Oryzias latipes: one gene and its partners. The protein of the gene in region 2 binds, or shares a complex with, the protein of the main gene of each other region. Links are inferred from orthologs where the notes say so. Each region holds a gene or a part of one and is shown on either strand. Other genes may lie near its edges. The genes, in order: lamtor4, lamtor1, lamtor2, flcn and fnip1.

Region 1 (3,075 bases), on a different chromosome or scaffold from region 2:
GGGGGGGGCTTAAGCAGACGTGGGTCAGAACAGCTCCACCCCTTTGGCCCCCCTGACTTATGGAGCCAGAACCATGGGGGGGGATCTTAAGCAGACGTGGGTCAGAACCGCTCCTCCTGACATGTGTGTGTTTGTGTGTTGCAGTGGCACGTCCAGGCCACCTGTGCCACTCAGGGGACCGGTCTGTACGAGGGGCTGGACTGGCTGTCCAATGAGTTGTCCAAACGCTAAGCAGCTGACTGATGATGTCACCGTGTACAGAGGAAGAGGAGGAGCCTTCCGCCAGACTGTTCCTGTTTTTTTTTTCTTTTTTTAAATTATAGCTGTAGAAGGAAGTGATGTCACAGACTCTGAGGTTTCCCATCATCCTCTTCTTCTTCTGCCGGTGTTTGTTCTTTTATGCGCATGTTTTAAATCCAGATCATGTGACAGGATGTTTTGGGAGAGGGGTGGGGCTTGGGGCAGGTGAGAGCTACCTGGGCAGGTGACGAGTCATTCCACAGCCGGACCGGCGCCCCCGTCATTCCTGCCTAATGTGAAGAAGAGATGAAGAAGATGACGCAATAAAGCTTTTTCTTGTCACGCTGGTGGGCTTTGTTCTGAACCAGAACCTGCAGACTCTAGACCAGACCGGTCTCAGAACTGAATCTGGTTAAGGATCAGACAAACTTCAGGTTTTCGTATGTTTATTTGAATCAGTTTTCAAAACATTAAAACTTTATTTAAATGACAAGTTCTGACAGAAAATCTGGTTTCTTTGGGAGATGAAGATTTTATTTCAGAATCCAAAACATGCAGCAGAACCTTTGCAGGATCGGTCTTCCGCTCTGCCTTCAGAACCACTGTAGCTGACCTTGTTCTGTAAAGGTCCAGAACCTAAACGTAACTGGGTTCTGTCCAATGATCCAAACAGAACCGAAACTGTTTAGAGAACTTGCTCCAGTTCTGTGCGATTGGTGGGTCACATCAGTTCATTACTGAGCAAGTCGGTTCCGACTCGGTCCAAAGGTGGACTGTCGTCCTCTCCGCCTGGCCCCGCCTTCACGCTGTGACGTGCTCAGGATGCGCGTGCTGACGTTTGACCACAAACACCTTCTGACCGGAAACGGTCACCGCCAAGACGAAGTCCTCCAGAACCACTGCGAACAGAACCGAGTCAGGGCGGGGCATCACCAGCCGAGCTCACCTGTCAGGTGTGACTTACCGGACATGCGCTTAAACGGGACGTCCTCGGATCCGGGTGACCGGAAGTGGTCCGCAGATCCAGATAACCGGAAGCGGTTCGCGGTCCGGACCATCTGCATTATGACGCTCGCCGTGTGCTCGTCGTTCTCCAGCTCACCTGCCGACTGCACAGGTGAGCCTGCTCAGGTTCGGTTCGGTAACAAAGCTGGGCCCGGATACTACTTACCGCCAGAACTCCGTCCTCGCTGATCACCAAGTACCCGAGCTGGTCCGGGATCCGGTCCAGACCCGCCGTCAGCGCCGCCGTGCTCTGCACACAACACACGTGAGGTTCGGTGAGGTTCGGTTCGGAAAAGCGGCACGGAGACAGAGAGCGAACTCACCATTCTTCCGGAAGATGATCCTTCACGTGACTGCTGACGTAGGCTGGTGGGCGGTGCCTTTCAGGCCTTCCAAGCGACTTCCGGTCTGTTTCGCTACACTTCCTGTTTACTTAGTCAATAGTTTTCTTCTATCTGAGCATGTATTGATTATGGGGTAGATTCTATGTAGACGTTTGTAGCAGACGTCTCTCATCTTGTTATTAATTAATCATTTCTGATTCAGGGTCCAAACATTTTTCCAGGACGAGTCAGGAATAAATGTTCTCCAATAGAAAACAGCAGAGGAACAGAAATGACGTTTAGCTGAAACACGGATGATCTTGTTATTCTTTAGTTGAAACAAGATTTTCCAACATTAGTGTCACTTAGAGACATGAAGGGAATATTTGCATCAAGTACAGTATTTTTAAAGAGTTCACAGATTCAGTAGGAACGGCGTCCCCAGTAGGATATTATTGTCAAACCAATGATTGTAAAATAAAGATTTGTTCTTGTAAAGGATATCTCTGTTATTCCAAATAAAAAACTTATGAGGAGAAAAGTTGTGTTTATAGATAAGAAAGAAGAATCTGTGAAAAGCAGAGATTTTCACTGGGATTCTGTCGATATTATAATCACAAAGCAGAAGAAAATGGAGAAAAGCTACTTTAGCAAACATGTGACGAGGGAAAATATTCCAAATGGAGAGTGGATTTTTGAAATATCATCCAGTTTATTTTAAAAGTATTATTTAAAGTAGTAAGATCAAGAAAATTTAGGCCTCCTTTTTCATAGGAGTTCATTAATACAGATTTTTTAAATAATGAATCCGGTTTTTCCAGATGAAGTTTAGCAGCATTTGATCAATAGATTTCAGAGTCTGATTGTCCAGAATTAGTCAGTCTAGAAATCCCCTCTGCTGTGGAGAGTGAATCCTTCCTCAGACTCTGGTCTCTCTGAAGCCTTTGGTTCAAACGTTTTTTGGCTTCATCAATGAGGGGGAGGGAAATTTAATGAGCATCTTTCTAAACTACTTTTGGAAATATTAACGCCTAAATATGTTACAGTTTCTATTACAGGACTGTTGCAGATTCTAAAGCACAATCTTCAACAGAAAGAAGTTCTTATTTGTTCAGACTGAGACGTAGACCTGAGACATCAGAGACAGACTGGATACGGTTCAGAGATCAGGAAACCTGACTGCTGTCTCTGAAGAAGAGAGTCGTGTCATCAGCAAACTGACTCATTAACATTTCTTTATTAAGAACTGAGACGCCTTTTAATTTATGAATATTGATACAATCAGCAAGAGTTTGGGTAACTAGAAGAAAAAGATACGGTGAAATAGGACCCCCCCCCCCATCTGATTCCTCTATTGGGATTGAATCTGGGGGGGGGCATTTTTTAGTTTGACAGAACAGTTAGCATTAGCATACAGAGTTTTAACTGTATTACAGAAGAAATGTATGAAGACAGCTGAAGATAAAATGATGATTAACAGAGTCAAACGCTTTATAAAAGTCTAAAA
Region 2 (4,225 bases):
TCATGAACAAATCTACATTTTCCTTGTCAAAAACATAAAATTGTCACAACCATGCTTACAGCTTATGGAGTTTTTTTTAAAAACTTTTTGTTTCTGAAAAAATTTTCTGAAAATGTGTTTACTGTATATATTTCCTGTCCGCACTTATGTTTGGCTAACTATTTGTTTGTCTAACTATCTTCATTAATTATGACTGGTACATTTTTTCTTTTCTTTAATTTCTGTGAGGATTTTTATGAGTAAATGTGGATTTCCAAACATTCACTGTGAATATCTGAAATGGAGAACCTTAAATTTAACGCCCATTCATTGTCACACACCTAAATGACCACTAGAGGCTGGTTTCAGAATGAGGCAATTTCCCACTGACTCTCACATCTAAAAGTCGGACTTTAAAGCAAAATTTTATATTTCTATTGATTTATTTTTGTTCACCACAGGTGTGGAATATGTGGAGGTGTGTGTTTTTTTTTTGATTGGCAGGTAGTTGGACTTAGCAAAACTCCAACATTCTGAGCAAACTGTGGGTCTTTTTTAGTTGCAATTCGGATTCAGATTATCCCAAGCGGAGTTTTGTTATCCATTACTGTTCACTCAAAAATCCAACACTTCAGATTTCAAAAGTCAGTTATTAGATGAAACAAGAAAAAGAATACCTTTTTTCATCACTTCAGCAACAAAATAAATAATCCATCTGTCCGTCTGTCCATCCATTTTCTTTATCAGCGATATAAACGGGGCCTGTTCACCTGCTGTTGGTTCTGATAAATTATTTAACACTTAAAGGTCTTTTTTTTCAGCTCTGCTCAATTTTTTCCTTTGGCTTTTAAACAGATGACTGATTATTTTCAGCTAAAGCTCCTGAAGGTGGAATTCACCACAGATATTTATTTTTTCTTATCTTAAATAAATTTTGGAGGAAAACGAAGGTGTTAATATTTTTTATTTATTTAATAATTTTTATATATTGTAAAAATGATAGATTCAAGATTTATATGTATATTATAATACATAATTTAAAAACATTATACTATTTTTTATTACAAATATTGATGACATAATTGTTTATCAGATTTCATTAATTGCCTGGAACAAAAATAATATTATTTGTTTTAACCCTTGTGCTATCTTAGATGACCCCACCCTTACTTTGACGTGTTCTCCCTACCATGACAAAGGTGGATAAAGGTGGAAAGATTTCATGTAATTTATGGACACCAGTGAAGATCACAAATCATTGAAGAAAAAAGATTCAGCGCACTGTTTAGTCGGTCTAGATGACCCAGCTCCCAATGTTAAAATGCCTAGGATAGCACAAGGGTTAACGAAGCAAGGGGTGAGGGTTCTAATGGCACACGGCCCCGCCGAAGGGCGCCACTGTGCTTCTGCATGAAACAACCTGCATCACGTGACGAAGGCCGCAGCGGCTTCACGAGAACCGGAAGTAGAAGTTGAGTTGTTGTTGCAACACAGCTGCTGTCATGTGATAGCCTGTCTGAAAAGCTGCTGTGCTGCAGTAGCTTCCTGCTTCTTGATGTTGTTAAAGTAAAAGTCCACAGGAGAGGAATTTTATGTTTGTTGGAGACGGAGCGCGCGGCTCGTATCTGAAGGAGAACAGGGAAGCCGCGCATTGCTAGTTTGGCTCCTCAGACGCCGCCGCCATGGGTTGCTGTTACAGCAACGAGGACGAGAACACAAGTCAGGTAGTTAGCCGCTAGCTAACCACAACCCGATAACTGTACGGTGCTCGGTTCTGCCTTGTTTACCGTGGTATTTACTTTTTTTTAAAATTGATATTTAAATATAAAGAGGAAAACCTGCCCATGTAACTTCTAGTTTTGTGTCAGATATTTCTGTAACATCTAAAGCAATGTAGCTAACTCTAATGCAGGCCTAGCCCGGAGCTGATTTAGTAGCTTAAGTAAAGTAAACAAGTTGTATATCTGTTAATGTAAACATCTGGATTTCTTGTTAAAGTTTAGTGGTTTATATATACGAAATATTTACTTATCAAACAAATTCACGTCCTGCAGTTTGTTACGTAGATTATGTTCGTGCTGTTTAATCATGGGTTAGAAATCAATTGTGAGCTGTAGGCTGTACAGAATACATAACTAGACTTTTCCGTATTGTGTCTTGAAGAGTTCAGTGTCACATGATCATGCAGACTCCAAGCTATTTTAGTATAAGGAAACAAGTGTGACGTTCCTTTGTTACTGTAAATATGCCATCATAGTTGTAGTAAAATAACTGTTTAGCCCTCTATTTTTATTATTTTTGCAAAGCACATTAAACCAAACACGTAAATTGTTCTGTTAAAAGCATAGTGAAATTTAAAGTATAATTGATTTAGTTTAAACATTTCTCTATAATAAAACACACATTAGGTTTAATTAACATTATTTTTATTGATTTGTGTAAGGTCTGGTAGCATAACATGTACAAGTGGATGAAGGGTTTTTGTATTCGTATTTAAAGAATTAAAAGTTGAGATGAACTGTTTTCCGGTTAAGTGAAAAAGTTTCTTAAAATATTTAAAATGAAATGGTACTGGATAACCTAACACATGAAAAATAAATATCATAACAGACTTATTGTTCAGCACTAGCAAAGGTTGCAGAGATTTCTCTTAGTTGAAGAGTTTGTAATATGTTCACTTATTAAAAGTAAAAATGAGTAACTTGCTGCACACATGTCATCTACAGTCTTTTGTCCTGGTAAAATGGCATGCTTTCATTGTTGCAACTACTTCAGAAAACAGTTTTAAGACAGTATTTGTGACATTTTCATTCAGAAGTGTGTATAAATTGTCTGAATAGATGCTCTGCTACTTTTGCAAGGACCCTGATGAGATTAAGCCCCTTATCCCCCACCCAAACCCCATTAGCAAGCCTCCAAATGGGACAGACTGGATCAATCCTAGCGTCCCATCAGCGCGGACGGATGAGCAGGCCATTCTCACATCCATCCTGGTCAAGACAGCACAGTAAGGCACTTTTTATGTTTGGATAGGTCCAGAATGGGACTTTTGACACTATAGTCTCAAACGCAAGTAATGAAAATCTCTTTGTTGTGTTTGAGGAACATCATTGATGTCTCAGCAGCTGACTCTGTTGTTATGGAGCAGCATGAATACATGGACAAAGCCAAGCAATACAGGTATGTCTTTGAAGACTACTTATTCGTTACCAACTGAACTTTTGGCATGTGTAAGCCAATAATTTAAATTTATATTAAATTTGTAAACTGCAAGCCTCTGTATTGTAATTGGTTGAACAACTTTTATTCTGCAATATTTTGTATACATGGTTCGGATTTAGCAAAAAAAACAGTTTTATTCGTGGAATCTAAAGCAATTGAGGATGATGAGGTCTTTGTATCCTGAGGAAGTTGTGAAGGAGGTAATTTAACCACAAAATTGCTGCAGTGCTGGTGCTTCCCTATAAAAGCTGTTTAGACAAAACAGCTGTCAAGCTGTAAAAGGCAACCGCCGGTTATAGTGCAAAACTGTGCAGTCTGGTCGGACACAAGCGAGACCATTTGGGTTAATTTTTTTTGAAGCTGAACTTGTGTTTTTTTTTATGGTTCCAGTACAAAGTTGACTGCAGTGAGCACCAGCCTACCACAGAAGAAAGCACTAGCCCTCCCCTCACTCACTACCCAGCCCCACCAAGTGCTTGCAAGTGATCTGGTGTCATATTCAGATATTCAGCAGGTAACCACACTGACACGCACTTTAATCCATGTCCTTGAATCCATGTCCTGTTTGTCCTGCCTTGTTTTATGCTGTAAAACCAGGTGATTTGTTTAAAAAACAAAACAAAGACCCTATAAAAAAGTTGAGGTTTATCTTGGTTGTGTTTTGAAAATAAAAACAGAGTATTTTGAAATATTGTTGCATCAACCCATTTCTTCATCTAAACATTCAGAATTCTCCCCCTTAAAAATGTACAAATGGACAAAAAAAAGAAAACAAGTGATATTAATTACTAGACTCTCAGTTGAAATCGCATGTTACTTTCTGCTGAAGTATTAATATTAATTTTTTTTTTCATTATTATGATCAGTGCTTTATATTTTAAAATATTCTATTAGAAGTCTGTAATAGCGTTCTGATCATGCAGATTTTCAAAATCAAATGACTCAGAATCGGATTGGGGGCAAAAAAAAACCTCGTTGGGAGACGTCTCCGCTAAGTACTTCATGTGAAGAGTTGCTTTTTCTC
Region 3 (4,478 bases), on a different chromosome or scaffold from region 2:
CAGCAAGTGTCTATATTGGCTCATCTTAACTTACCAACGACTTACAAAGACTGTAAATAGTAAATAAATAAAAATTGCTCTTTTTTTCATTCTTTTCAAGAGAATGAAACTGATGGTGGGCTGATAAGGGACCGCCTACAAAGTGCAAGTTCTGGGAAAAATAGACCAAGATAAATAAATACATAATAATAATAATAATAATAATAATAATAATAAAAATACTAACGATTAGTCAATGGTTCTGTTGAAAGTCACAAATACTCATCATAATTATGCTACAACGATGAATTTGGAAATTGATTATTTGATATTATAACAGGGAAATGAATCACATCTGATCAAAAATGTTCAACAGTTCTGAAGATGTTAAGGCTACAGTCACCAAACTTTCTCATAGGGCTAATTAACCTATTTTGACTAGTTAACTATTAACAAGTTTGTACTAGTTTATAGTTAACTATTTTTTCTATTTGATAATTGCATTACTTTTCCTTGATTGTTGAAGATACTTCCCAGAAGTGCTCTGTTTACGTGTAAAATGCTAAAAGAAGCTTAATAAAATTTTAAAAATTTGGAAAATGTTGATCTGTTTATTAAGTTTGTCATTTTTTTTTGGATGTGCTACGACAGTAACAGATCGGAACTCGGTATCGGCAGCAACTCCAAATCCAATAACTTGGAATCGGAATTTGATCTGAAATATGCTTCACTTCCACTAAACTACATAGAGGAGAGTGAATGAATAAACGAGTGAATAAATGTCCTTGGTTGAACTGAACTTGTGGGGTCAGGAATCGGGACTCGTTGAGGAACCACAGCTGATGAAGACCCATGTGAGGAAGCAGCGCCCTCACCTTTGCTTTCAGCATCCCGAAGCCCACCGTCTCTTTGGCGTACATGCAAAGCAGCAGGTTAGCCACATGCGTTATGGCCACTCTCCCTTCCTGAGAAAAAAAAAAAAAGCCTTTTTATTGGTCGAGTCCAAAGACTAAAAGTCACTTTTCTTTACAGGTTGTAACTTCCAATCATAAATCCACTAAGTCAGATGGATTTCTCACAGAACACTGCTTTGCTGTTAGTTTGCGATGCTCAGATTTACGACAGTATTTATGTAAGCCTGACCTTCACTCAGTTCAGCAGCTCTCAGCTAATGTGCAGACATGAATTATTACTGAATAAGGGGCGATGAGGCGCAAATCGAACTGAATCACAGGTTTGAAAGAATGGATCTCAGCTTTTTTTATGCGACCAAATGCAGCAGGTTTCCCCTCCATCTACAGAGCAAGACTCTCCACAAAGCCCCTCCTCCTAAGGCAGAGTGGGGGTTTTACTGTGTGGATTCGCTGATTTTCGGGAATTAAGTTAAACATTTTGCCTCAGAGCTGGAAGTTAGAAATAAGAAAATCATCTGGTTGTTTGCATGAGCGAAGATTATTTATGTATCATGAGAAAAATGATGCAGGACGTTGACACGTTTGACTTGAGCAATGTTTACAAAACTGTAGAGCGGGGCAAAAAAAAATGGGCAAGGAGTACAAGGAGTGTGTGTTTGGTGTCTTCCTGTGGTGCTATTGGTATCAAGAGCCAGCTCCTTCCATATCTGAAGGTTTGCTCAAGTCCCATTATTCATATTTTGTACAACATTAAAAGAGCCATTTGGTCCCGTTTGAAACAGACCAGACTGAACAGGTGCCACCATGTATGCATGCTAAAGCAAAACTACAAACACATTATTTTATTTAAATAATACACATTTTTTCTTTAAAGTCACAATGGAGGGGGAAAAAAAACAGCTGTGATGCCTCAAATTGCAGACCCCTTCAGAGATGTTGGGGCATTCATAGAATCTAACTTCAACAAAAGGGCTGAAGGAAAACAAGGAGAAAGTTCCCACCATGCAGTCCATGAGGATGAACTTGAGTTTGTCCTCGTTGAAGGCCTGGTGGCCGTTCTTGTCGTAGGCGGCCCAGATGTTGCTGGCGATGGCAGCGGTCACTCGAGCGTCTGTGTCGCCGTAACCGGAGTACGCCAGGAGGGAGCCTTCGTTGTTCAGTAGGCTGCTCGCACAGAGAGACGGTTGTTCATTACACACAAAAACAACACAATGATGAAAAGTTACAGTGACAAAGTTTTAAGACAAACGCCATTCCGTTTTCAAACCATGAAAACCAAGTAATTTTGTCAGGAGGTCTCCAGGACAGAAATTGATCGATTGATGCAAAATGGCTAAAACGATGAACAGATCTATATCAAACAGATCTACATCAAACATTACAGATTACTTATTTTCCCACACCACTTTTTAAATGTAAATCGATTTTTTTTGCTTTTTTTCTACCTGATAATGATATTTTGTACCCTGAACAGACTTTCTAAGCAAAAATAAAAACGAACCAAATATATTTTAAAAAGACTCTTATTTTGAAATCAAAATTCAACTGCTTGAAATTCGTGTAAAACTGTATTTGATTTAACAGCGGAAAACAAATCTTGAAAAAATATATTTGTATTTATTGCAATAAATAATGAAAATGTAAAAGTAGTATTAAGTTGGTGAAGTAATAATTATATAAACGTGTCGTTTCAGGGGAGCTTTAAGAGTTCTAAGGAGCTAGACGCAAACAAACCGCTGCTAGCTAGCTGGATGTTAGCCTGCTAGCTCGCGGTACTCACAGGGTGCTCTGGACGCCGTTCGTGTTCGCCTGGCTGAGAACTTGCGTCAGCGCTTTGGGTCGCAACATGGCCGACCTCTCTCAGGAGAAAAAACCCAGAAAAATGATCTGACTGAATAAACACGGGGCTTAAAAAAGAAGAGAGAACTGCTCAATAACAGAGCAAAGTCAGCTGACTCGATTCTTCTTCTGTTTCCTTTTCCGGTACATTTAGAGATGCATCATGGGAATTGCAGTTATATCCAAATACATGTTTCCTATTTATATTTATTATGTTTTTCTTTAAACTTTATTTTTAAATTTTTAATTATTCCTGATTTTTTCACAAATCTTTTTGTTTTAAATTACTTTCCCATGTAGTCTGTAAACATTTTTGAGAACTGGAATATGGCCATTCATTCATCTTCCTCCGTTTTGTCCATTTCTGGGTCACGGGGCTGCTGGAGCCTATCCCGGCCACTTGTGGGTGAAGGCAGGGGACACCCTGGACAGATTGCCAGTCTGTCGCAGGGCCACAATCACACTCCCATTCACACTCACACCTATTAGAGCTGCTAGAATATGACCAGTTCTTTGGAAATGTATCATGGGAAATATAGTTTGCTTCAGTGAACGACGAAAACTTCACCTCCTTGATTCATCTCCTTTGTCATATTTAGAGTTTTTATCTCAAAGATTTTATGCTTCAAAGAAGTGTACTTTTTATTCTACTTCAACCAAAGAAGTGTTATTTAAATCTTTTGACACTCCTCCTTACAGTAAAGGTTAGTCTGCTTTGAGGTTTTTATTGTCTGCTGGCTTCCTGGTGGGAGGACATGTTTGCGCAAAGTGTTTGGCAGAATCGTTTCCCTCCTGCCCTTTGGACATCAGAAAAAGTGATCGGGCCGAGGATATTATTGTTTTTTTTTTGTCTGTAAGAAGAGGATTTTGTTCTAAGAGGTAAATCTGTTGTGTTTGAGTGGACACACTTATAAAAAAGACACAAACCAATCATTTGTATAAACAAAAGTTGATTTGATTCCATGCTGTAACTGCTATGGTACATGAGTGCATGGTTAATATGTATTCTCTGATATGTGTTTTGGTAAAATTATAGTCACACAAGTGCATCCGTTTACAGTTTTGTTTATACCGTCAACCATTGAAAGCTACAGACGTGGTGTAAAATCAGAGAGGATGTAGTCTCATTTTGGCAGAAGGAAATAAACACATTTCCTTCTAGATATGTGACAAAAAAGTTAACTCTTTAAATTTATAGTAAAACTCTTTGAGGTCATTCTGACACCTCTGAAGTTTAGATGAAAGGTCAAAAAATCAGTTTTTTCTATTCTAGTCTCTGCAACTGAAAGGACAAATGATGATGACGAATAAAAGTGTCTTTTGGAGAAAAGAAATTACAAAAAAAATCTAATCAGTATGTACAGTGTGGCTGCAAGAAAGGCTAAATATCACCAATTTTAAAAAGAGTATGAATTTGCAAAACTTTGAGTGAATACTAATACACCTTTATAAAATGGCAGAAAATACATTTTATTTCATTATCAGAACATTAACCCTTGTGCTATCATAGGCACTTTAACACAGAGAGTTAGGTCATGTAGACCCACTAGAAGTGCTCTGAACCTTTTTTCTTCAATGATTTGTGATCTTCACTGGTGTCCATGGATTACATGAAATCTTTCCACCTTTATCCACCTTTGTCATGGCAGGGAGAACACGTCAATGTAAGGGTGGGGTCATCTAAGATAACACAAGGGTTAAGGCCATGTCACACATTTTGCTTAAGTTCTGTCTTTTGTGAAACAT
Region 4 (4,463 bases), on a different chromosome or scaffold from region 2:
ATAACCATGATATTCAGAACATAAAACATATGTACTTTAAAAATAGTATTTTATAAAGACAGATAAAGGTTATCGGACCTGTGGAAGGAGCGACATTTGTGGCCAAAGCGACATTTTCCACTTTGGAAAAACTGGCACACTTTGACTCCATCGCTTTTCAGCTCTGCCAAGTCTGCAAATCACAGCAAAGATAACAGGAAAACATATGCAGTCAAGACTAAAAAACGAACTGATCAGATTTTTCATTTGAAAACTCATATGGTCATTATTGTTGCTCTTGGCATCCACACAAAGATCAGTCTGTGCGTCACAAATGATTAAATCTGCTCCTCTGCATTCCTCGCCCTGACATAAATGATATTATATTTGATTGTTCTAACCCTTCCATAGACATGGACCTCATAATTCATCTCCAGTGCACTAATCAGAGAGTAAACAACAGGTGGTAATAACCTAATCCCCCGTACAATAATGGGAAAGCTGACTCTCCCCGACGCTGAAGTTATTAAACTCCCTTCTGATATTACAGTTTACTGAAAGCAGCAGGGAGGTTTGTCTGTTCTGAGGAAATTTCCTTGTGACTTAAGGTTGGGGAGTAGGGGTGGGAGTGGGAGCAGACACCGATTCCTTTCCGTCTCTGGAGGTGGGAGTCTCTGGAGGTGGGAGTCTTCAGTCCTGACTCACTTGCTAAAAACCCAGACATGTTTCCAGGACATGAACACTGCAGGAAGTGAGGGGCTGGGGGTCCACTGCATTCTGCTCCCTTTTAAAGGGCCAGAGGCTCACACAAACACGCTGTCAGAACAAATTCCTTCCCAGAAACACTGCTATTGATGACTTGAACGCTGATAGCTTCTAAAAAATAATACTAATAATAATCTGGCATGGAGTTTGATTCCCCTAAAATCCTAATTAGATTTGAACAACATACCAATTTAGATTAACCAATTAGATTAACAGCAATAAGTACATACATGTTAAAAACACATAAAAATATGGTGTTACCATCGACATCAGTGGGCTTCTGGGTGTCAGCTGTTCCAACAGTTGGGTTATTGGTTGGTTCTGTGAGGGTCCCGCCACCATCTACCTGGCCCTCAGGTGAAAACGTGGGAGCCCCTGTCCCACGGGACGCCATGGTCACAAATGAAGGGCCCTGTTGCCTCGTTGAGGTAGTTTTACCTTTGACTGGTCAGTAAAAATAAACTGGACACACCCGGTTTTCTTTACTGTGTGTGGGAACACACGGAAGTGTCTAGTTTTTGGCGATTAAAAATAAACAATTTTAGAAATATTATTGTTTTTACAAAAAGCAGATATACTTAAACGCACTCAAAAATCAAAACCACGGTCACATATTTTGACATTTAAGCAGACTAGTAAGAAAATGCAGACTTCCAACTCAAATGTACTTTGACCTCAGTCTCGAGTGGACCTATGGGTAATGTAGTTAGTGTTCAATCGACTAGTCTTATTTTTGACTAAATGATTCTTGATTTCAGGAATGTAATCGTAAATTTTTAAAGAAAAATAATTGGAGAATTTATTTACATTTTCAAACGTCAAGAATTTGAGGTCCAAGAGTGCCAATGAACATAAAACTTGCTTAGACGCATCATTTCTGCTCGAGCGCGTGACTCCGCGTCATGTGACCCTTCTGTTGTTGTTTGCTAGCAGTTCCCGGTGACAAACGAAAAGCGTAACTTGTTGACTTATTGGTGAGTTTTTTAGTTTAAAAAAACGACCCGAAACATGTTTTTTGTATTTTTAAACTAAAAAGCCATGGCTGTTCCATAAAAGTCGTTTTGAGCAGCATTTAGCTCGACTCCGCTGAAGGTAAGAAGAACTCTCTATGATTGACTTGTAACGTCACAAACTGTTAGGAGACATACAGTCTACCTGTAAATATCTGTTTGTAGTCAAAACGGCAATGAATGTTAAATTATTGATGGATTCGTGTGTTCTCCATTTCAGATGAATGCGCTGGTAGCTCTGTGTCACTTCTGTGAGCTCCATGGCCCCCGGACCCTCTTCTGCACAGAAGCCCTGCATCCCCCATCCCCAGACCCGTCCTCCCAGACTGGTACCCCGGTGCCAGGAGACAGAGATAGAGATGGGGACCGTGAGGGTGAAGGTCTCACCATGAGGGCCAACAGCTCTACTACACCTAGAGGAGAGATGTGTGAGGTCAGTTTATCACGCTCTTGGCACCTGGACCTTAAAGTCCCACTCCGATCATCTATTTTCAAAACGTTCCCAGTGGCCTTTTAATTATGATTGTGCTGTTGGGGGGGGGGGGTTGGTAGTAAGCCTGCATGCAAGCCTGTTTGTTTACTTGTTTACGGCCCCTGTAATTGACCCCCATTCTAACATTCCCTGTGCAACAAAATGCCGACCAATATTGGAGCTAACCAGCCGTACAGTTTGGACGAGGAAAGCAAAGACTGAAGACGAATACAGAAATACGCAGAGAGGCAATTTGAAGCTTAATTTTCTTTATACATTCTATCATCAGAAAAATGGCACAAACACACGTTAAAAACAACAGAAACATAATTTTCATTGGAGTGGGTCTCTAAAGAGAACTTATCGGCTGGTAATCCATTTCCCACATGTCATTTTCTGTTTTTTTCTTTTTCTTTAACACCTTCTTAGGGATGCAGATCTCTGCCTGCATCTCACCCTGGCTTTGTGAGCTTCGATGATGAAACAGGAATTCGATTTCTGAGCCATCAGCATCCCAGGCAGCCGCAGCTTTTTAGCATGGTGCGCCAAGCCTGTGTACGCAGCCTCAGCTGTGAGGTAAACTTTGCTTAAACGATGTCTGCTCTCATTTTTGGCCCTAATTTCCGACCCAGTTTTCTCTGTTTTTGCCTCAGGTGTGTCCTGGACGTGAAGGACCGATATTTTTTGGAGACGAGCAACAGGGGTTTGTGTTTTCGCACACCTTTTTTATTAAAGACAGCCTGGCCAGAGGATTCCAGCGTTGGTACAGCATCGTTATTGTAGCCATGGACAGGATCTACCTCATCAATTCTTGGCCTTTCCTGTTACGTCACCTAAAGCTCACCATACACAGCCTGCAGAGCACAGCTCTAAAAGTAGGCCACAAAAACAAACAACCCCTTTGTTGATTCTGTATTGAGCTTAATTGACCGAACACATTTTTCTTTTATTAGGTATTTGACAGTGAGCAGGGGGTTTGCCCTCATCGAGCCATGCGGATCAACAATGCATTTTCCCCCGCAGTCTTTCCACACCAAAGAAGTGGGAACGCCGCCCGATCACTGACCTCTCTCACACAGCATCCCAATCTCTGGGCCAGCCTGCACTCTTCTTTTAGCTGGTGAGACAGTTGACCCGGCGTCACTCTGTCATTACTCCCCTTTAGGCTGATTTGTAGCTTCTCAGCTGTCAATAATGATTTGGGTCTTCACACCCTTCTTTCTGCAGGTTGCTAAAAGCCTGTGGGAGCCGACTGACGGAGAAGCTTCTTGAAGGTGCCCCCACAGAGGACACACTGGTGCTTATAGAAAGACGAACAGGTAAGCATGACGTCCAGGGCTACAAAACTGTTTGTGTCTGATCACACTAGAAGATTTCCTTCTTAAAACAAATAAGAAATATATAAAATATAGGATGCCTTTCCCTTGTTATAAAAGAAAAAAATCTGCCTATGGAACTAGTAGAATTTGTCTTGGTAAGATTTCTCAAAAAAGTTTTGATCTCCCGCCCTTTTTAAGACTAATTAAATGATGACTTTAGCTATAAATACTCATATTTAGGTTTATTGCTCTTAAAATGGGAAATATTAGGTCTTGAACTAAGCCTGATTTTCTTAAAAAAAAGTTTTATACCTATAAAGTAGGTATATTTGTACACTTTTCTTCCCCCCCAAATATGTCTTATGTCAAGCAACAGTCCAACAAATCATCCTGAAATAAGACTAGAATTACACATTTTAAGATCCATTTGTATTAAGGATTATTTAAAAAACACATATGAAACAAAACCACTCACCAGACAAATAAAACTTCAACTGAAAAATATTATATAAAGAGGAAAAAATGTGTTTTATTAATGATATTCATATAAAAACGAGATGTTTTCGAGATCAACTTACTCAACAAGATATTCAAAATGTATTGCCTTAAAACAAATTGGGTCTTTTATTTAGTTCAGGGGTCTGCAACCTTTAAGGGTTAAAGAGACATTTGGTCCAACTTCAAACTGACCAAAACCCACCGAGAAGTCCCACTGTTTTACAAAAATAAACTTTATTTATGTTTTTTGTGCCCATTAAGCCATTTATCTATGAAATTAGATTTAATTATGTACAAGAATAGAATTACATCACTTTACTTTTGACAGCTGCACATTAAAAAGTCCTTTCAAAATAAAATGACAACCCCCCCTGCTGCAGCAGATTTACTTAAATTAAAATGCAAGAAAGTCAAGTCAAA
Region 5 (3,769 bases), on a different chromosome or scaffold from region 2:
TTTCTTGTTTTCTGCTTTTAGATCAGCTGAAGAACAAGTATGGCTGCAGAGCTGCACGGTTTCTGGTTACTTCGCTCATAGGTGTTCACTGCGTGTCTGGTTTTGAAATACATGTAGTCAGAAGGGACAGGGCTTTAACCCTGGGGCATCAATCCACGACTCAGGACTCTCAGTTGTGCTGCAACACCCCATCATAACCCAAGCCCAGGCTGCAGTGGCTTTTATGTTCCCCGTCCTTCTGCAATGTGTGCAGCTTATCTTTGCAGACATGTGCGTCTGCCCACCCTCTACCAACGTCAATGCCACATCATCATAAATAGTCAAGAGAATTTCTTCCAGTTTCCCCGTCTAATGTTCCGTGAAGTCAAAGCCCCTAATGGCAAAGGAGGCTACCTTTCTATTTAGGTGTCTAGAGGTGAGATTCTTCAAGCGTTTTTAGCCCAGGGCACCAGCGTTAGTCTTGCTGGCACCCACATACTGTTTACTATTCTGGTGCTTTCTTGTGACCAGACTCTGCAGTAGATAGGGTTCCTACTTGGGAAGCTTGGGTTATTGAGGCCAGGTGTCAACAGGCATATGACTGCTGCAACGCAGACCTCAAACAGGGAACTGACAGCCAGTGGGAAAGGAGCAAGTGAAAGTAGTTGGAGGCTGGCATGTGCAGCACTTATATGGGAGGGCTTGCTGAGAGCCGTAATCATATGATTTAGGGCAGAACTTCTGACACGTATGCAAATATTTATCAAGTCTACATTCCTCACAGTTTTTGAACCCAAAACAGAATCTCCTCTTCAGCTCCCCTCAATCTTGAAATCTGCATCGTCTCCAAAGAGACATTTCCATCACATTAGCAGAACAGTCGTGTCAAAGTCAAGTGGAAACGTTCTGAACTATTTTTAAAGATTTCTTACCCAGAAACAGATTGACAGTAACAGAACTAACCTCTTCTCACTGTCAGCACATTTCTTTTTAACTAAGGAGAGCCGAGCAAAATCCAGCACATTTTGTTAGCCTCTGATGTGAAATGAAAACCACTTTTTATTGCTAATTATTCCCCTGTTCTTTGCCAGCTTCGGTAAATATGAGGATGGACAATATAAAGGAAAAGGACAAAGAATCTTGTTTTTTGGGTGGTTGCATTTGGAAAATCTTTCCTACGTATCACAACATGAATTAAATGAATATTCATGATGAATTGAGGGAGCTGCTAACCTGAACTCGTTCAGTCCATCCACCATTCGGCTGTGGGCCAGAGCTCTCTGACTGGCATCAGCTGACCGCCGACTCATCTTCATGGCCTTGAAAGTGGAAATGCACAGATGAAACTCTAGATATACAACCCCAAAGCTGTCAATCTGAGACACTTGTGAGGGAGAAGAGGAAGAGGGGCAGGAAAGCAAGATAACACTAAACGGGAACTCTTCCAGAGCCGCACACAGTACAGCAACAGTCAATAGTACTGGGTAAAAGGGAAGGCAAGGGTACTAAACCATCAGTGTGACGCTTTAGAGTTTAGATGAAGAACATTTACATTCACTGACCTGCTCAATAGCGCTCTTGAGTTTGTTCATGTGACTCTCAAAGAGAGGGAAGTGGGAGAAGAAGAACTCCTGAAAGTAGCTGTTTTCCTCAGAGTTGGGAGACAGCGTGAAAATAACGCCAATGGCGATCTTCTTCTTCCGGGCAACGCCGAGATTTGGACCGCCACTTTCGTCAGACATGTTGAAGCTTTCCTCCACTGACCTGATCACATGACAGTGGACGGGGATTCAGTTTCCAAAGAAGGGCTAAGGCAGAAACAAATCCTAGCATGACGTGTGTTTGCTAAAAATCCCAACAGCCAATTTGATTTTTTTAGTAAGATTTATTTAACCCCGGAGAACCCACGGGGTCAAATTTGGCTGCTTCTGTAAATAAAATAAAAAAATGTATTTCATTTTTTTCTTGCTTTTTTATTTTTCACTAGTATTTATATTTCCTTTTATTTCTATTTCCCCCCCACTTTTTTTTATTCAAATGGGTTTTTTTCCTCTTTTTGGCCAATGTCAACTGCTGCACAAACTGAAATAACAAACAAAACTAATTGTGAAATTAACTTTAAAGGCCTATAAAGAAATTGTTCTTGGGTTGTCCAGGGTTTAACAGTTAACACATGCAGATGTTGACAGCTGAGTTTATAGTTACTGGCCAAGAACTTCCTTTCTGCTGCAGCACTGTGTTTCTACAAAGTCTCTGCATACAACATCAGCGTTGGTCTGGTTCCCAAACGCCTGGCCGACTGTGAGGAGGTCTTAGCACAGTCGACTTTACAAAAGCCACAAAAAGGCCTTAAATACTCAGTGTGACTTCAACAGAAGCTCTTTGCAGTTTGCAGAGTTTTAGGATCTTGAAAGGTGTTGGAAAAAAAAAAAGATCAAATGCTGTTAGTAATATGAATCTCTATGGGTTTTATTTCATCATAAAAGGAGAATATGTGACTGGTGTGATCCAAGAACTTCATTTATTTATGTTCCATCTTAAACATTTATGCCAAAATCTTAATGCAAAATAATATTAGTAATGATTAAAACTATAAACAAGTTTATGAGTTTAATAATTAAACAATTGGTTGCATATTAGAAACAATTAAGAATATTTTTACAGTGCATTTGAAGTTTTTGATACTTTCATCCTGTTTATTTTAGTGAAAGGACTTAAAAACGTGTTTGTTCCCATAATTCCTCACCACCGGGGAAAGACGCCGTTCTCCAGGCTTGTAGTTTGACTGCGGAGCCAGCGGCGCTGATAGCTGGAGGCGCAGCTGCTGGTTAAGGAGGAGCCGGGGGACGGGAAAGGAGTGATCAAGAGGCTGCTCAGTGAGGCTGAAAGGATACAAGAGACACGGCAGAGGTGAGAAGCAGAAGAAATGATTTAGGGGGTTGTGGGTAACGGTAAAAAAAAAAAAAGAGTGCGTGGGAGTACGTGGGGTTACGCACTCTCAATGACACATCCTTCATGCACACACAGACAGAGCAGAATACGACAGACACACTTCATGAAACACGACACTTCACAAGAAATGCAGCTCGATAAAACAAACCCAAACACTCCCCCTCCAAATCCAGCCTTTCACTATTGAACAGCTTTTATGTGAAATCCGGTATAATCTACCCTATTAACAGTCACATGCTGGAAGTGTTGGGAAATCTGGCTCTACACCAGGGCCTGGCATGATAAAGACAACACGCAGTACATTGCCCCTGATCACGAGGTTATTTACAACCCAGCCAGAAGGCACGGAGCAACAGTCACATGAACTGTGAAAAAGGTGTGTTATCTTTTGTCTGTGGAGCTTAATGACATCACATGGTGATAAATATAAGTGTAAGATCTATTACAGGAAACTTTACTAGGCAAGAGGAAACTAGGTTAAAAAAAGGAACATGCGAGCAGTGGGTGGCAGGCGGTGAGATCAAAGGACGAGGCTTAAATGAAAAGTTCATTTAGTAGTAGGAGGCTTGAGAGCTGCTATATTTAATCCTCCGCATGTGACCTGTGTTCAAACAGAAAGCACAATGCCAGTCGTGCCAATGACACATGGTGACGTTTGGGGAGGGGGAGCAGAGCTGGGGGCATAAAGGTCAGTTTCCATGGGACAAAGTTTCCAAGTTCATTGAGGTTTATACAAGCACCCTCTCTTCTCCTTCAAGTTTATCTCTGCCTTTTGTGGGGGAAGATCCTTTAAACTTTTCATGGCTCCATGTCTCTAAACAGTTTCACACTCCTACAC

What was found.
Region 1: lamtor1 (region 2) and lamtor4 share a complex: the UniProt entries of both Homo sapiens proteins name them as parts of the ragulator complex. The link is inferred for Oryzias latipes from reciprocal best matches to the Homo sapiens genes LAMTOR1 and LAMTOR4.
Region 3: lamtor1 (region 2) and lamtor2 share a complex: the UniProt entries of both Homo sapiens proteins name them as parts of the ragulator complex. The link is inferred for Oryzias latipes from reciprocal best matches to the Homo sapiens genes LAMTOR1 and LAMTOR2.
Region 4: lamtor1 (region 2) and flcn share a complex: the UniProt entries of both Homo sapiens proteins name them as parts of the lysosomal folliculin complex. The link is inferred for Oryzias latipes from reciprocal best matches to the Homo sapiens genes LAMTOR1 and FLCN.
Region 5: lamtor1 (region 2) and fnip1 share a complex: the UniProt entries of both Homo sapiens proteins name them as parts of the lysosomal folliculin complex. The link is inferred for Oryzias latipes from reciprocal best matches to the Homo sapiens genes LAMTOR1 and FNIP1.

Annotation. Positions count from the first base shown.
Region 1 is NC_019881.2:23,887,887-23,890,961, reverse strand, and holds lamtor4 (ragulator complex protein LAMTOR4), read right to left. Parts: upstream 1,678-3,075; 5' UTR 1,572-1,677; coding exon 1,569-1,571; intron 1,496-1,568; coding exon 1,412-1,495; intron 1,350-1,411; coding exon 1,205-1,349; intron 1,140-1,204; coding exon 1,042-1,139; 3' UTR 681-1,041; downstream 1-680. Other genes in the region: ADP-ribosylation factor 4, read left to right, coding at 145-231. UniProt on the Homo sapiens protein: As part of the Ragulator complex it is involved in amino acid sensing and activation of mTORC1, a signaling complex promoting cell growth in response to growth factors, energy levels, and amino acids.
Region 2 is NC_019871.2:21,798,387-21,802,611, reverse strand, and holds the start of lamtor1 (ragulator complex protein LAMTOR1), read left to right. Parts: upstream 1-1,375; 5' UTR 1,376-1,661; coding exon 1,662-1,703; intron 1,704-2,840; coding exon 2,841-2,986; intron 2,987-3,081; coding exon 3,082-3,159; intron 3,160-3,591; coding exon 3,592-3,715; intron 3,716-4,225. UniProt on the Homo sapiens protein: Key component of the Ragulator complex, a multiprotein complex involved in amino acid sensing and activation of mTORC1, a signaling complex promoting cell growth in response to growth factors, energy levels, and amino acids.
Region 3 is NC_019874.2:28,620,232-28,624,709, forward strand, and holds the start of lamtor2 (ragulator complex protein LAMTOR2), read right to left. Parts: upstream 2,888-4,478; 5' UTR 2,742-2,887; coding exon 2,674-2,741; intron 2,058-2,673; coding exon 1,895-2,057; intron 945-1,894; coding exon 855-944; intron 1-854. UniProt on the Homo sapiens protein: As part of the Ragulator complex it is involved in amino acid sensing and activation of mTORC1, a signaling complex promoting cell growth in response to growth factors, energy levels, and amino acids.
Region 4 is NC_019874.2:19,462,129-19,466,591, reverse strand, and holds the start of flcn (folliculin), read left to right. Parts: upstream 1-1,648; 5' UTR 1,649-1,718; exon of another isoform or gene 1,719-1,836; intron 1,837-1,974; coding exon 1,975-2,187; intron 2,188-2,655; coding exon 2,656-2,802; intron 2,803-2,879; coding exon 2,880-3,101; intron 3,102-3,179; coding exon 3,180-3,346; intron 3,347-3,453; coding exon 3,454-3,545; intron 3,546-4,463. Other genes in the region: leng9 (leukocyte receptor cluster member 9), read right to left, coding at 79-172, 1,006-1,138. UniProt on the Homo sapiens protein: Multi-functional protein, involved in both the cellular response to amino acid availability and in the regulation of glycolysis.
Region 5 is NC_019872.2:4,896,999-4,900,767, forward strand, and holds part of fnip1 (folliculin-interacting protein 1), read right to left. Parts: intron 2,862-3,769; coding exon 2,726-2,861; intron 1,744-2,725; coding exon 1,542-1,743; intron 1,299-1,541; coding exon 1,213-1,298; intron 1-1,212. UniProt on the Homo sapiens protein: Binding partner of the GTPase-activating protein FLCN: involved in the cellular response to amino acid availability by regulating the non-canonical mTORC1 signaling cascade controlling the MiT/TFE factors TFEB and TFE3.